3 linked regions of the Xenopus tropicalis genome follow. The protein of the gene in region 1 binds, or shares a complex with, the protein of each later gene. Links are inferred from orthologs where the notes say so. Each region holds a gene or a part of one and is shown in the gene's direction. Other genes may lie near its edges.

Region 1 (3,651 bases):
TAAGCTCAGGGGTCATTACATATTATCAAGCAGAAAATTATGCTTGCATTAAAAGCTACAGAGCTTCAGGGCTCATTATTAAATTCTGATGCAAAATGCGCTGGTGTCGGAAATTACATATAATACAGTTATGAGTGAATTATTAATCAGGCTTGCATTGTAACTTGTATATTATATTTACACACTCACGCATATTGCAAGTCGGTCCCTAAGCTCAGATAACTGTCAGCAGAACAGAGCATGTACACTGAATCAAGAAATTGACAAGCAACTGGGGCATCTTTGGAGACACCGATCTTCCCTGCTAAAGGGCTGTGGTTGCCTTGGGCTGGTACAGAAGCCCAAAACATAATGGGCAGCATTTCTTCCCTACTTCTTTGTTAAGCTTTAGTTCCTATTTAAAGCATTACAGTAATTTTCCAAGCCTCTGAAAAAAATGTCCAGATATAGTTTAATGATATATGGGGATGAATGTGATTTGTAAACTAAAAGTGCTTGAGGTCTTTCTGGAGTTGAAAAAAAATGGTTGTAGCACAGTCAAAAAATAATAAATACATTTTAATTATAGAAAAAGCATACATAAAACCAAAATTAACAAAAAACATGTGTTGGTTACAGATAAATTCAAAATAGAAGTTTACAATATTCATACCATACCAAATGACAAAGTGCATCCTAGTGCCAAATAGTCCCCAGGCTCCTTCCAATGCATTTTATGCCATTGGGTGCTTTATCAGAAGAGGAACAGAGAAACAAACAGGATGTCTTAGACATGCAAACCCTACTATCTGTGACAAGATTTTAGACCTTGTGTAATGTTTAATACATTAAACATAAAAAAGAAAGGAAAAAAAAATACCCATGATAATGTAATACTTGGAAACTAAATTCACCCTCAAAGACATATTGGCATCTTTTTTTTTTTTTTTCCTGTTACTTTTTTCTGGTAAGCTTATTTATTTATTTTGGCGATAACATACTAAGAAAAAAAAAAACGAATTGGTTCCAGGATGCACTTTAGTGATTTTATCAAGACTGCAGGTTTTTCAGGGCCAAATCAGGCTGATCCAATTGTTCGGCCCCCAGGCCAACAATCAGTTCATAACCGTATGTAGGCCTGTCAGGAGAAGACCATATTAATGCACCAATGCACCCATATATTGTCAGGGAGGTTGTGGAAAAGGGCCCATACACAGACAAGCTGCTGACTTGATCTTAGGCTAATGCCAGACGAGGCGTAGGGCGGATATTTTCAGCAAGCGGAAAAGCGCTTGCAGAAAATTCCGCCCTCCGCCTCCTACATGTGCCTGCACCCGAATGAATGAGATACTTTTGCATTATCTCACGTTTTCATGTGTATATCAGCTACATGTGCCTGCATCCGAGCGTATCTCATTCATTTGGGTGCAGGAACATGTAGGAGGAGTAGGACGGAATTTTCAGCAAGCACTTTTCTGCTTGCGGAAAATATCCGCCCTACGCCTCGTCTGGCATTAGCCTAAAGGGCCTTGGGTCTGTAAGTAATCGCTGTTTGTTGGCCATAGTAAACTAAAAGGGTTCATTTCTGATGTCCAAATGCTAAAGTGGTGATTATTTCTCTTATTTTCGCTACATTTATATTATTAGCCCTGGTCCCTTAAAAGAGTAAAGGGACTAATTAATTACGTTTGTTAAAGTAAGATTGTTTTCTACATTGTTAAAATGTGTGCAATGCTCTAAGAAATTCACCCAACTTATTCTTAAATCTCAGCAATTAGAAGAAAAGAGTGAGGATGAGGAAGATAAAGAATGTTTAAAGCAGTCAATAACTGCTCTACTAAACCTTCAGAGCAGCATGGAAAGAATATGTTCCAAGAGCCTTGCTAAGAGGCGACTCAGGTAAATCCATGTTATAGGTAACCATTGGTACAAACTGCAATAATCCAAATGTTTGTGCAAATTCAGAATATTATTCTGACTGCATTATTGTAGACACAGAAATTCAACATTATGTAATAGTAGCACTTGACTGTGGTGTGATGACATCATATGGGTTGCTAAGCATGTATTCTGAGGACTTAACAAATTAGGAGCAAGTTATTTCCTCTGGGACCCCCAGGTTCAAGTTACACCTTTCGTGAGAGCAGGTGGTATTTTGATATGTTAACGATAAGCAAAATAGTGCTATTTTTGTACTGAAATTATTATATATATCTAAATGCAGAGTAAAAATTGTCTAGAAAAAAGTTAATCTAATTCTCAATACTGACTCCATTTAACATTATACAACAAGCTGTAAAGATTTTCTTATGGTATACATAGCTTTGTGTTTCTGTTTAATGGTCACTACTTATTCAGGATCATAATCAGTAAGCAATGCAAAACATTTTTGGGGTGCTCTCTATATTTTTTTTAATGCAACAAATTAAAGTTACCATTTAGTAGTGTTCAGGGAGTTGCAAAACAATGCTGCTTTTTGCTGTTTCTACAGTACAGTGGGACAGTCTGATACATTTCCCCCCTTGTGTCAAGTGATTTTGGAAGCAATTCAAAATGGGAGTGGTTTTTGCCTTTATGTTTTTAAAGGAAGTGACATTAAGGCACACAGTGTGTGTTATTGTTTAAAAACCTCTCATAGTTTGCTCCATTTGCAAGCTGTAACGTAGGACATTCCTGCACAGCCGTCAAGCGTCATTACTGGACACTTCTTTCAGGTTTGATCAATATTGCAAGAATAATGTGAATATTTCCATGCATTGGCTGTCTGTCTGCTATTAAGGCCTTAATTCTTTTCATTAATATTTCTTTAGTAGTTTACAGTGGGGTCAGAGACCTAGCTCTTAAATATGCCTAAGTTTTAGTTTGAGTCATATTAGGGTGGATGTTTACTAACAAATAATTTTTACAGACAAAGAAATACTTTGGTATTTCTTTTATATGGGCAATTTAGATAATTACTGATCTTGATTTGTATATTTTCTAGTAGAACCTGAGAAGTAAAAAGGATGGTAATTTATCTTTCTAGCTGTCCTTTTTTTCCTGCATTCAATAGTCTCCAGAGTATGTTATATTATGTTGTATGTAAATGCAACAATTCTTTCAGGAACTGTTGCTTGAAGATTCCTACTAAATTTTTAACTTACCATCTGTCAGATAGACTTGTAAGGACAAAACACTGCATATTTGTGGTGGCGCAACTTCAGAAAACCGTAGTGATGCATAGGCCTTTCTACCGGCGATCCCTTTGTTGCTGTTGGAAAGGCATTTCAGAGAGATTAGTTGCCTGTGGTAGCAGAGATCTATTGCAGGCAGCTAATCTCTCCACAGGACATTCCCTAACCCGTTATTCTTGCCAGATCCAATATAACAAGCAAAACAGTTGGAACTGTATCATAAAAGCATAATTCAGGGTAAACCTTATTTATTTTTGTCATCAAGCAGCCACATATGATAATCCTTTTTTGTCTTTTCTTTTTTTCATACAGTGAATCTGCATGTCGATTTTATAGTCAGCAAATGAAGGGGAAACAACTAGCTATTAAGAAAATGAATGAAATTCAAAAGAACATTGATGGATGGGAGGGAAAAGACATTGGGCAGTGCTGTAACGAATTCATCATGGAGGGAGCCTTAACACGTGTTGGGGCTAAACACGAAAGACACATATTCCTA
Region 2 (3,751 bases), on another chromosome or scaffold:
CTGTCTCTCATTGCAACTCTACCTTAGCAAGTCCCCGGTTTCTAAGGTAATTTGGACCCTAGCAACCAGATAGCTGCTAAAATTCCAAACTGGAGAGCCGCTGAACAAAATGTAAAATAATTAAAAACTACAAATAATAAAAAATGAAGACCAATTGCAAATTGTCTCAGAATATCACTCTCTACATCATAAGTTAACTCAAAGGTCTATTCTTAGCAACTTTTCAGTTGGTCTTCATTATTTATTTCTTATAATTTTTGAATTCTGTGACTCTTTGCAGCTTTCAAATGGGGGTCACTGACCCCGGCAGCCAAACCCTATTGCTCTGTGAGGCTCCAGTTTTATTGTTATTGTTACTTTTTATTCCTTATCTTTCTATTCAGCCCCTCCCCTATTCATATACCAGTCTCTCATCCCTGGTTGCCAAGGTAATTTGGACCCTAGCAACAGGATAACTGACCCCGGCAGCCAAAACCTATTGTTCTGTGAGGCTCCAGTTTTATTGTTATTGTTACTTTTTATTCCTTATCTTTCTATTCGGCCCCTCCCCTATTCATATTCCAGTCTCTCATTCATACCACTCGCTGGTTGCTAGGGTAACTTGGACCCTAGCAACCAAACCCTATTGCTCTGTGAGGCTCCAGTTTTATTGTTACTGTTACTTTTTATTCCTTATCTTTCTATTCAGCCCCTCCCCTATTCATATTCCTGTCTCTCATTCATACCACTCCCTGGTTGCTAAGGTAATTGGAGCCCTAGCAGCCAGATAGCAGTGGAACGGGAGAGCTGCCGAACAAGAATTGAAATAATTAAAAAACTACAAATAATAAAAAATGAAGACCAATTGCAAATGAGTATTTTCTCTGCAGTTTACCACCCTGCTTCCAAATGAATAGGGAAAATAGTATTTACTACTTTATCCGCCACTTTCTCTCTTTCAGTACTTGATTAAATGATAGACAATTACAAGTTTTCACACACACGGACAGACAGTATGGCAGCTTCACTGCTCTCAGGGTTAAAGATCTGAGCGTTACGTCATGGCATTTCCTGCAGACGAATTATCAGGCTTACTTGCCCTTTACTCAATAGTAACCAGGACACCACGCCCCTCGGCCCGTACGTCACACCAGGGGGGCGGTACCATCGGGGAGTAGCCTAGCGTTCGGGGCGGGGCGCTTTCATTTGCATTCCGCCTTCAGCCAATGAGGGAGGCCAAATCGCTCTGACGTCACCGGCGAATCCCCGTTGTATTTATAGCTCGTATTTAAAGAGCCCCTGGGAGTCTCCGGCCCAGGCCTGTGTGTGCGGGACCGGCAGCGCCGCCTTCTCTCTCTGCTCCAGCCCGGGCCCCATCCCCAGGGGGAAGCATGCAGCCGTGAGCCCCAGCCGCCAGCATACCGGTGAGTGAGTGCGGCCCGGGGGGTACAATGCCTGGCTAGTTACCCCAGCGGGGGGTATGTGGGTACTAAGCCTTGGGGGTTAACTGCAGCCGGGGGCTGGTATTTGGCCTTCTCTCTGGGTAACTGGCCGGTTACAATTTGCCCCCCACCCCGGGGTATAAGGATCTCCTGATCCCCCTCAGCTACCCCACCGTGGGGCTAATTGGCTTCTGATTCTCTCTATCTGCCCCTTGCGGGTAACTACTCATCCTTCCTGGGCCCATGGGTGTAACTGCTATATTTACCCCCGGCCGGTAGTTGCTTTGGGCCCTTTATTCCTGCCCCTAGCGATCCCCTATATTTACCCCACCAGGGGTATTACTGCCTCCTGATCTGTTCTCTCTGTATTGTACCCCTTGGGGCAAGTGGCTGCTGGTCCCTTTCTTCCTACCCCCCCTGCCTTCCCTTGCTTTACCCACTGATCCCAAGGGGATCCCCATTCTGCCCCCCAGGGGTTTATTCCTTTCTCCCATTCTGCCCCCCAGGGGTTTATTCCTTTCTCCCATTCTGCCCCCCAGGGGTTTATTCCTTTCTCCCATTCTGCCCCCCAGGGGTTTATTCCTTTCTCCCATTCTGCCCCCCAGGGGTTCATCCTTTCTCCCATTCTGCCCCCCGAGGGGTTTATTCCTTTCTCCCATTCTGCCCCCCGAGGGGTTTATTCCTTTCTCCCATTCTGCCCCCCGAGGGGTTTATTCCTTTCTCCCATTCTGCCCCCCGAGGGGTTTATTCCTTTCTCCCATTCTGCCCCCCCAGGGGTTTATTCCTTTCTCCCATTCTGCCCCCTACCCCTGTGGCTTTCCTCTTTCTCCCATTCTGCCCCTCTTGGGGCTTTATTCCTCTCTCTCCCATTCTGCCCCTCTTGGGGCTTTATTCCTCTCTCTCCCATTCTGCCCCTCTTGGGGCTTTATTCCTCTCTCTCCCATTCTGCCCCTCTTGGGGCTTTATTCCTCTCTCTCCCATTCTGCCCCCCTTGGGGCTTTATTCCTCTCTCTCCCATTCTGCCCCCCTTGGGGCTTTATTCCTCTCTCTCCCATTCTGCCCCCCTTGGGGCTTTATTCCTCTCTCTCCCATTCTGCCCCCCTTGGGGCTTTATTCCTCTCTCTCCCATTCTGCCCCCCTGCTTTGATTGGTCTCTGTCTACTTGTGCCCCATTTGTCTCTTTTTTCAGCTTATTGGGGTACTGCGTTTAGGGGTAATTCCCTGGGACCACAATTACCCCCCCCCCCCCCCAGGATGTGTTGTCTTTGTCCGTTATACTTCTTTACAGGGTCTCTAGGGAATGCCCCCTGCAGTTCTTTGGGCCTATTTTTGACTCCTAGTCCCCCCCCCCCCCCCCCAACCACAAGAATAGGACTTTAATATTTAAGGTGCTAAAAGGGTAAATACCCCTAGTTTGTCGGTATAGGGGCATCAGTAATGTTCTGTATAGAGAAATGGGGGACGGGTTACATATCCCCCTCTGTTTCTACTGGGGGTCACATGACTTCATCTGTGGCCCTTAATACATGGAGGACGAAGGGCCTGAAATTGCCACTGAACTAAAGCAGAGGGGTAAATTAATTGCCTACTATTCTGTACCAGAGGGCAGATATCCTATCTGATCCCCCCATTGTAAGCAGCAGTCCTGCCCTGCTTTATGGCTGAGATTCTAGCTATCTGTATAACAGAGCATTCTGTCACAGTGGCACAGATCCTATCTGATCCCCCCATTGTAAGCAGCAGTCCTGCCCTGCTTTATGGCTGAGATTCTAGCTATCTGTATAACAGAGCATTCTGTCACAGTGGCACAGATCCTATCTGATCCCCCATTGTAAGCAGCAGTCCTGCCCTGCTTTATGGCTGAGATTCTAGCTATCTGTATAACAGAGCATTCTGTCACAGTGGCACAGATCCTATCTGATCCCCCCCATTGTAAGCAGCAGTCCTGCCCTGCTTTATGGCTGAGATTCTAGCTATCTGTATAACAGAGCATTCTGTCACAGTGGCACAGATCCTATCTGATCCCCCCATTGTAAGCAGCAGTCCTGCCCTGCTTTATGGCTGAGATTCTAGCTATCTGTATAACAGAGCATTCTGTCACAGTGGCACAGATCCTATCTGATCCCCCCATTGTAAGCAGCAGTCCTGCCCTGCTTTATGGCTGAGATTCTAGCTATCTGTATAACAGAGCATTCTGTCACAGTGGCACAGATCCTATCTGATCCCCCCATTGTAAGCAGCAGTCCTGCCCTGCTTTATGGCTGAGATTCTAGCTATCTGTATAACAGAGCATTCTGTCACAGTGGCACAGATCCTATCTGATCCCCCCA
Region 3 (3,751 bases), on another chromosome or scaffold:
CTGCCCTATGCTGCCTGTGTGTGCCATACCCTCCTTGCCCTATGCTGGCTGTATGTGCCATACTCTGCCTACAGTACCATGTCTGAGGTGTGAAGAAGTGAACAATGGGAGTGACTACAGTCTGAGCCTGAGGTGTGAACACTGCAGGGGTTGAACAATGCAGAGATTAAAAGGTGTGAACAACACAGGGGATTACATGTTTAAACAATACAGGGGGATTACAGCCTGAATCTGAGGTGAGAACCATGCAGGGGGGCCAGTTAATCACAGTACTGATACCATTTAAATCTTACACAAAGGTAAGCCATCAAAGCAGCCAGACAGGTGGGGGGCCACACAGATGGGGGTCGTGGGCCGCCAGTTGGACAGCACTGAGCTAATGGAATGGCCCAAACAAGCTATTGCAGGCCAGCAGTAAAGTTACACTACTTTACATGATATTACACAGGCAAAAGCCAACACTCTGGAGCTCATTTATTAACGCCGATTGCAGAATGCAAAAATCAGCACACTTTAAAAAAAAAAAAAAATGCAAAATTCCTTCCCACAATTCAGAGCATAATTGCAAAACTGCGCGCCAGACGCTGTAAAGGCATACATCGGCACCGGGTAGTAAAATGCGCCCAAGTGGGCAAGTTACCCCTGTGAGATACAGAGCAGCACATGGGTAGACATTAACAATTCTATAAGCGCATTATTCTTAGGAGTCCAGCAGTCATAAACAAACCTTTGTAACGCAACGCTAGCGCAAACACCACATAAAAACGCAAAACTTGTAAATGTACTAAATGAATGAATCCGTTTCCCTATGGGTCCCCTTCCCCGACTCCAACTAATAACAAACCCAAGGGATGCCCTTCCCGCCTAAGTCCTTCCTCCTCGGCCAATCACAACTTGAAGGCACTCTTGATTGACTGCATTGGGGGCGTGGTTTTTAGTAGCTCTCTGGGCGTGGGCTGCCCACATTGTTCCTGAGCGGTGAATGCAGCAGCTGCATAGAGAGCAACGCCCAAGCCGCCCATTCATCTGCTCCCTGCTGCTCTGCTTGTATGTGCTCAGCTCACATAGCGGCACCGGGCAGCGCCACACATTGCCTGCTGAAAGATCTGTTGCTCTTCGCAAAAATTGCGCCTTTTGCCCTAATGCTTGATCTAGGTATTATGTTCTATGCGAGGGAGAGCAGCTGACTTTAATGTGGGGGGGATCACCTGCTACAGTCCTGCGGTAAGTAGCTGCGATCGCTGGGCGTTCCTGATTGGGTCTTTGGTTTCCTGTTGCAGGGGCTGCAGAAATGATTTTCCTATTTATTCTTATATATACAAACGGGGGTGGGATATTGTAATAGTTGAAGCTGGGTTTTTGTTTCAGTTTTGCTATGCTGTTTGCTGTATTAGAGAAGGAAAGTTGCCAACACTATTTATGGGAACTTTAATTGGGGCAAATAACTGTGGTGCTAGCCCTTTTCCCTTCCCAGCTGCAGTCTTGTAAATCAACCCACTTGTTAGTATGGTTCTGCCGCCCCCTGCGGAGTAATGAGTTGATGATGTTATTGATTGATGTGATTCTGGGCTTACCAAGCTGTGACCCTGTTGTTGAACTACAGCTGGGTGCCAGCACCCTCCCAATAGGTTTAGGTTGAACATCTCTGAGGTATGTGCTAAAGCAACATTTTTCCTCCAAGGGGATTTTTTAAATCTGGGGTCCCAGGGCTAATTCCGTGCCATCTCTGTCATGCCCTAATACAGTGGATGTTTAGTAGTGCCAGCCCAGGATAGGACATTAACATTGGAATTTAGGCTGGTGCCTATTGCCATACTTTGCCCAGTCTGCCGTTATATGGGCAGGAATTGAAATGATGGGAAGGCTATTATGACTGGTACATTCCTTGTTCTATTAATAAAAGGAAATCTGATTGTGAGCTCTTGCACCAAGATAATCACTGTCAGGACTGTGGTAAAAGAGGAATTTTGACCAATGCACTCATCTCAGGGAGAACATGGGAATCAATTACATATTAGAATGATGTCGAAAGCAGAATTCTAAGACAATTTGCCATTGATCTTCATTTTTATTTTTTTTTTTTGTGGTTTTTGAATCATTTACATTATTTTCTGCAGCTCTTGACTGCTATCTGGTTTCTAGGCATTAATCACCCTAGCAACCAGTTTTGAAGCCAACATGGATTAGGAGAGGACCTGAAAAGAAAAATAAGCAATAACATATAAGAATCACAATAACATTCAGCTTCACCAATTACTGAAGGGACCCCCCCAGACCCCTGCAACACAGCACAGCCCTGTTGGGTATGGGATGTTGCTCTCTCATTGTCCTTGGCTGACCCTGGCTACTTGCCTGTAACAAACCTCCTCTGAGCTCTATTGATGCTACCAAGGAGCCTATGCTGGAACGATATGTCACAGGCTGAAATATTGATGGGATGACGATAATGCAATTAAGGAGAATTTGCTTTTTGAGGTCTCTCTAGGCTTTCCAGTGTTTTGTTCATATTGCTATGGGGGAGGGTCTTATGTCAATAACAGAGCAGTTCTCTAAGGTTTCTGCTGCCGCATCTCTTGCTGTGTGATGTCATGTACCTACCTGTTGGCTGCTGATTCATTGCTGTGCCTCCCGGTACATTGCAGAGCCACAGCGTAGAGCAATAGAAAAGCAAACTGGGATATTTCCAATATTACCAATATTAGTGCACTGGGCGGGACCCAAGGCCAGCAGCTGCATGGGGATTCAGAGAAAAGAGTAAGAGGCAGCAAGCAGGCCCAGCCCCAGAGAAACTTCCACACCTGAGAGTCACCAGTCATATGGTAAAAAAATCAGAAATATTGTGGCTACAGGTAGGAAGATTGTCTGTGGTTTTTAAGTTATATGTGAATGTATCTGCTATTTAGCCAGTAATTTCCAGACTAACTTCTGCTACATTGTTTCAGGAGTCAGAACCAGAATTGCAGTGAATGTAAACAGCCAGTCAGATGCTGCTTTTTAAATTTACAAACAATTGAACATGTTTAATGTGTATTGGAAAGATGTGTTACTGCATATTCTCTTTCATTATTCAAAAAAAGCACTTTCTGGTTAGACTTTATGTATTAAGCTAAATTCACATTATGATACATCTGCCCCCTAGTTTTTTTTTTTTTTTTTTTCAGCAGGATTTGGATATTACTTGTGTGCCATATTACTTGTATGAACTGTTTCCTACACCACTCCCTTTAGGCTCACAGTGTAATGAAACACTTCCCTTAAAATCCCTCTGCTTATCATAGTGGGAGTTTCACAGATAGTGGGTGGTTCACAGATTCTCTTGAAAGCAGAGGGACGTCAAGTCCCAGAAATCCATCACTTCAGTGATTTAAGTGGAACAAGGTGATGGTGGGGTGAGATCTGCTGAATGTAAAGTGAAATTATAAAAAAAACATAAAAAATGAGGACCAACTGCAAATTTTCTTTCTTAGTATAATTTACAGGGTAATATTCAAAGTTAATTTAAAGGTGAACTATCCCTCTACTGCCCGCTCATGGGCTGATTATTTTTTATTATACTCTTTGCTGATTGGTTGGATATTGTACCATGTGGCTACACAAACAAATGGCAACTGCACTGATTCACAATCGCCCCCCCCCCCATCCCCAATCCCACAATCTTTGGAAGGGCCCGGCGCAGAGTAGAAAACCCACCCGGATACCATAACTGTACCAGTTCATTTCTTATTTTAGCCAATGGCTGTTGGTTTCCATA

The links.
Region 2: the proteins of sos1 (region 1) and krasl are in contact, whole or in part, in a crystal structure (PDB 8BE4), measured with the Homo sapiens proteins. The link is inferred for Xenopus tropicalis from reciprocal best matches to the Homo sapiens genes SOS1 and KRAS. Residues at the interface, in NP_005624.2 of Homo sapiens: Lys602, Trp809, Thr810, Lys814, Leu822, Met824, Ile825, Arg826, Thr828, Thr829, Thr832, Leu833, Leu872, Val875, Ser876, Asn879, Ser880, Ser881, Pro882, Tyr884, Ser908, Asp910, His911, Tyr912, Lys913, Phe929, Phe930, Gly931, Ile932, Leu934; in NP_001356715.1 of Homo sapiens: Ser17, Ala18, Ile21, Gln25, Asp30, Glu31, Tyr32, Pro34, Thr35, Glu37, Tyr40, Asp54, Ile55, Leu56, Asp57, Thr58, Ala59, Gly60, Gln61, Glu63, Tyr64, Ser65, Ala66, Met67, Arg68, Asp69, Gln70, Tyr71, Arg73, His95.
Region 3: the proteins of sos1 (region 1) and hras are in contact, whole or in part, in a crystal structure (PDB 4NYM), measured with the Homo sapiens proteins. The link is inferred for Xenopus tropicalis from reciprocal best matches to the Homo sapiens genes SOS1 and HRAS. Residues at the interface, in NP_005624.2 of Homo sapiens: Glu589, Lys602, Trp809, Thr810, Lys814, Leu822, Met824, Ile825, Arg826, Thr828, Thr829, Thr832, Glu836, Asn869, Leu872, Val875, Ser876, Asn879, Ser880, Ser881, Tyr884, Ser908, Asp910, His911, Tyr912, Lys913, Leu916, Phe929, Phe930, Gly931; in NP_001123914.1 of Homo sapiens: Gly13, Gly15, Ser17, Ala18, Thr20, Ile21, Gln25, Asp30, Glu31, Tyr32, Asp33, Pro34, Thr35, Glu37, Tyr40, Arg41, Asp54, Ile55, Leu56, Asp57, Thr58, Ala59, Gly60, Gln61, Glu63, Tyr64, Ser65, Ala66, Met67, Arg68.

What each region holds. Positions count from the first base shown.
Region 1 is NC_030681.2:42,937,866-42,941,516, forward strand, and holds part of sos1 (son of sevenless homolog 1), read left to right. Parts: intron 1-1,750; coding exon 1,751-1,878; intron 1,879-3,464; coding exon 3,465-3,651.
Region 2 is NC_030679.2:2,105,861-2,109,611, reverse strand, and holds the start of krasl (GTPase KRas), read left to right. Parts: upstream 1-1,263; 5' UTR 1,264-1,403; intron 1,404-3,751. UniProt on the Homo sapiens protein: Ras proteins bind GDP/GTP and possess intrinsic GTPase activity. Plays an important role in the regulation of cell proliferation.
Region 3 is NC_030680.2:34,323,868-34,327,618, reverse strand, and holds the start of hras (GTPase HRas), read left to right. Parts: upstream 1-1,112; 5' UTR 1,113-1,224; intron 1,225-3,751. UniProt on the Homo sapiens protein: Involved in the activation of Ras protein signal transduction. Ras proteins bind GDP/GTP and possess intrinsic GTPase activity.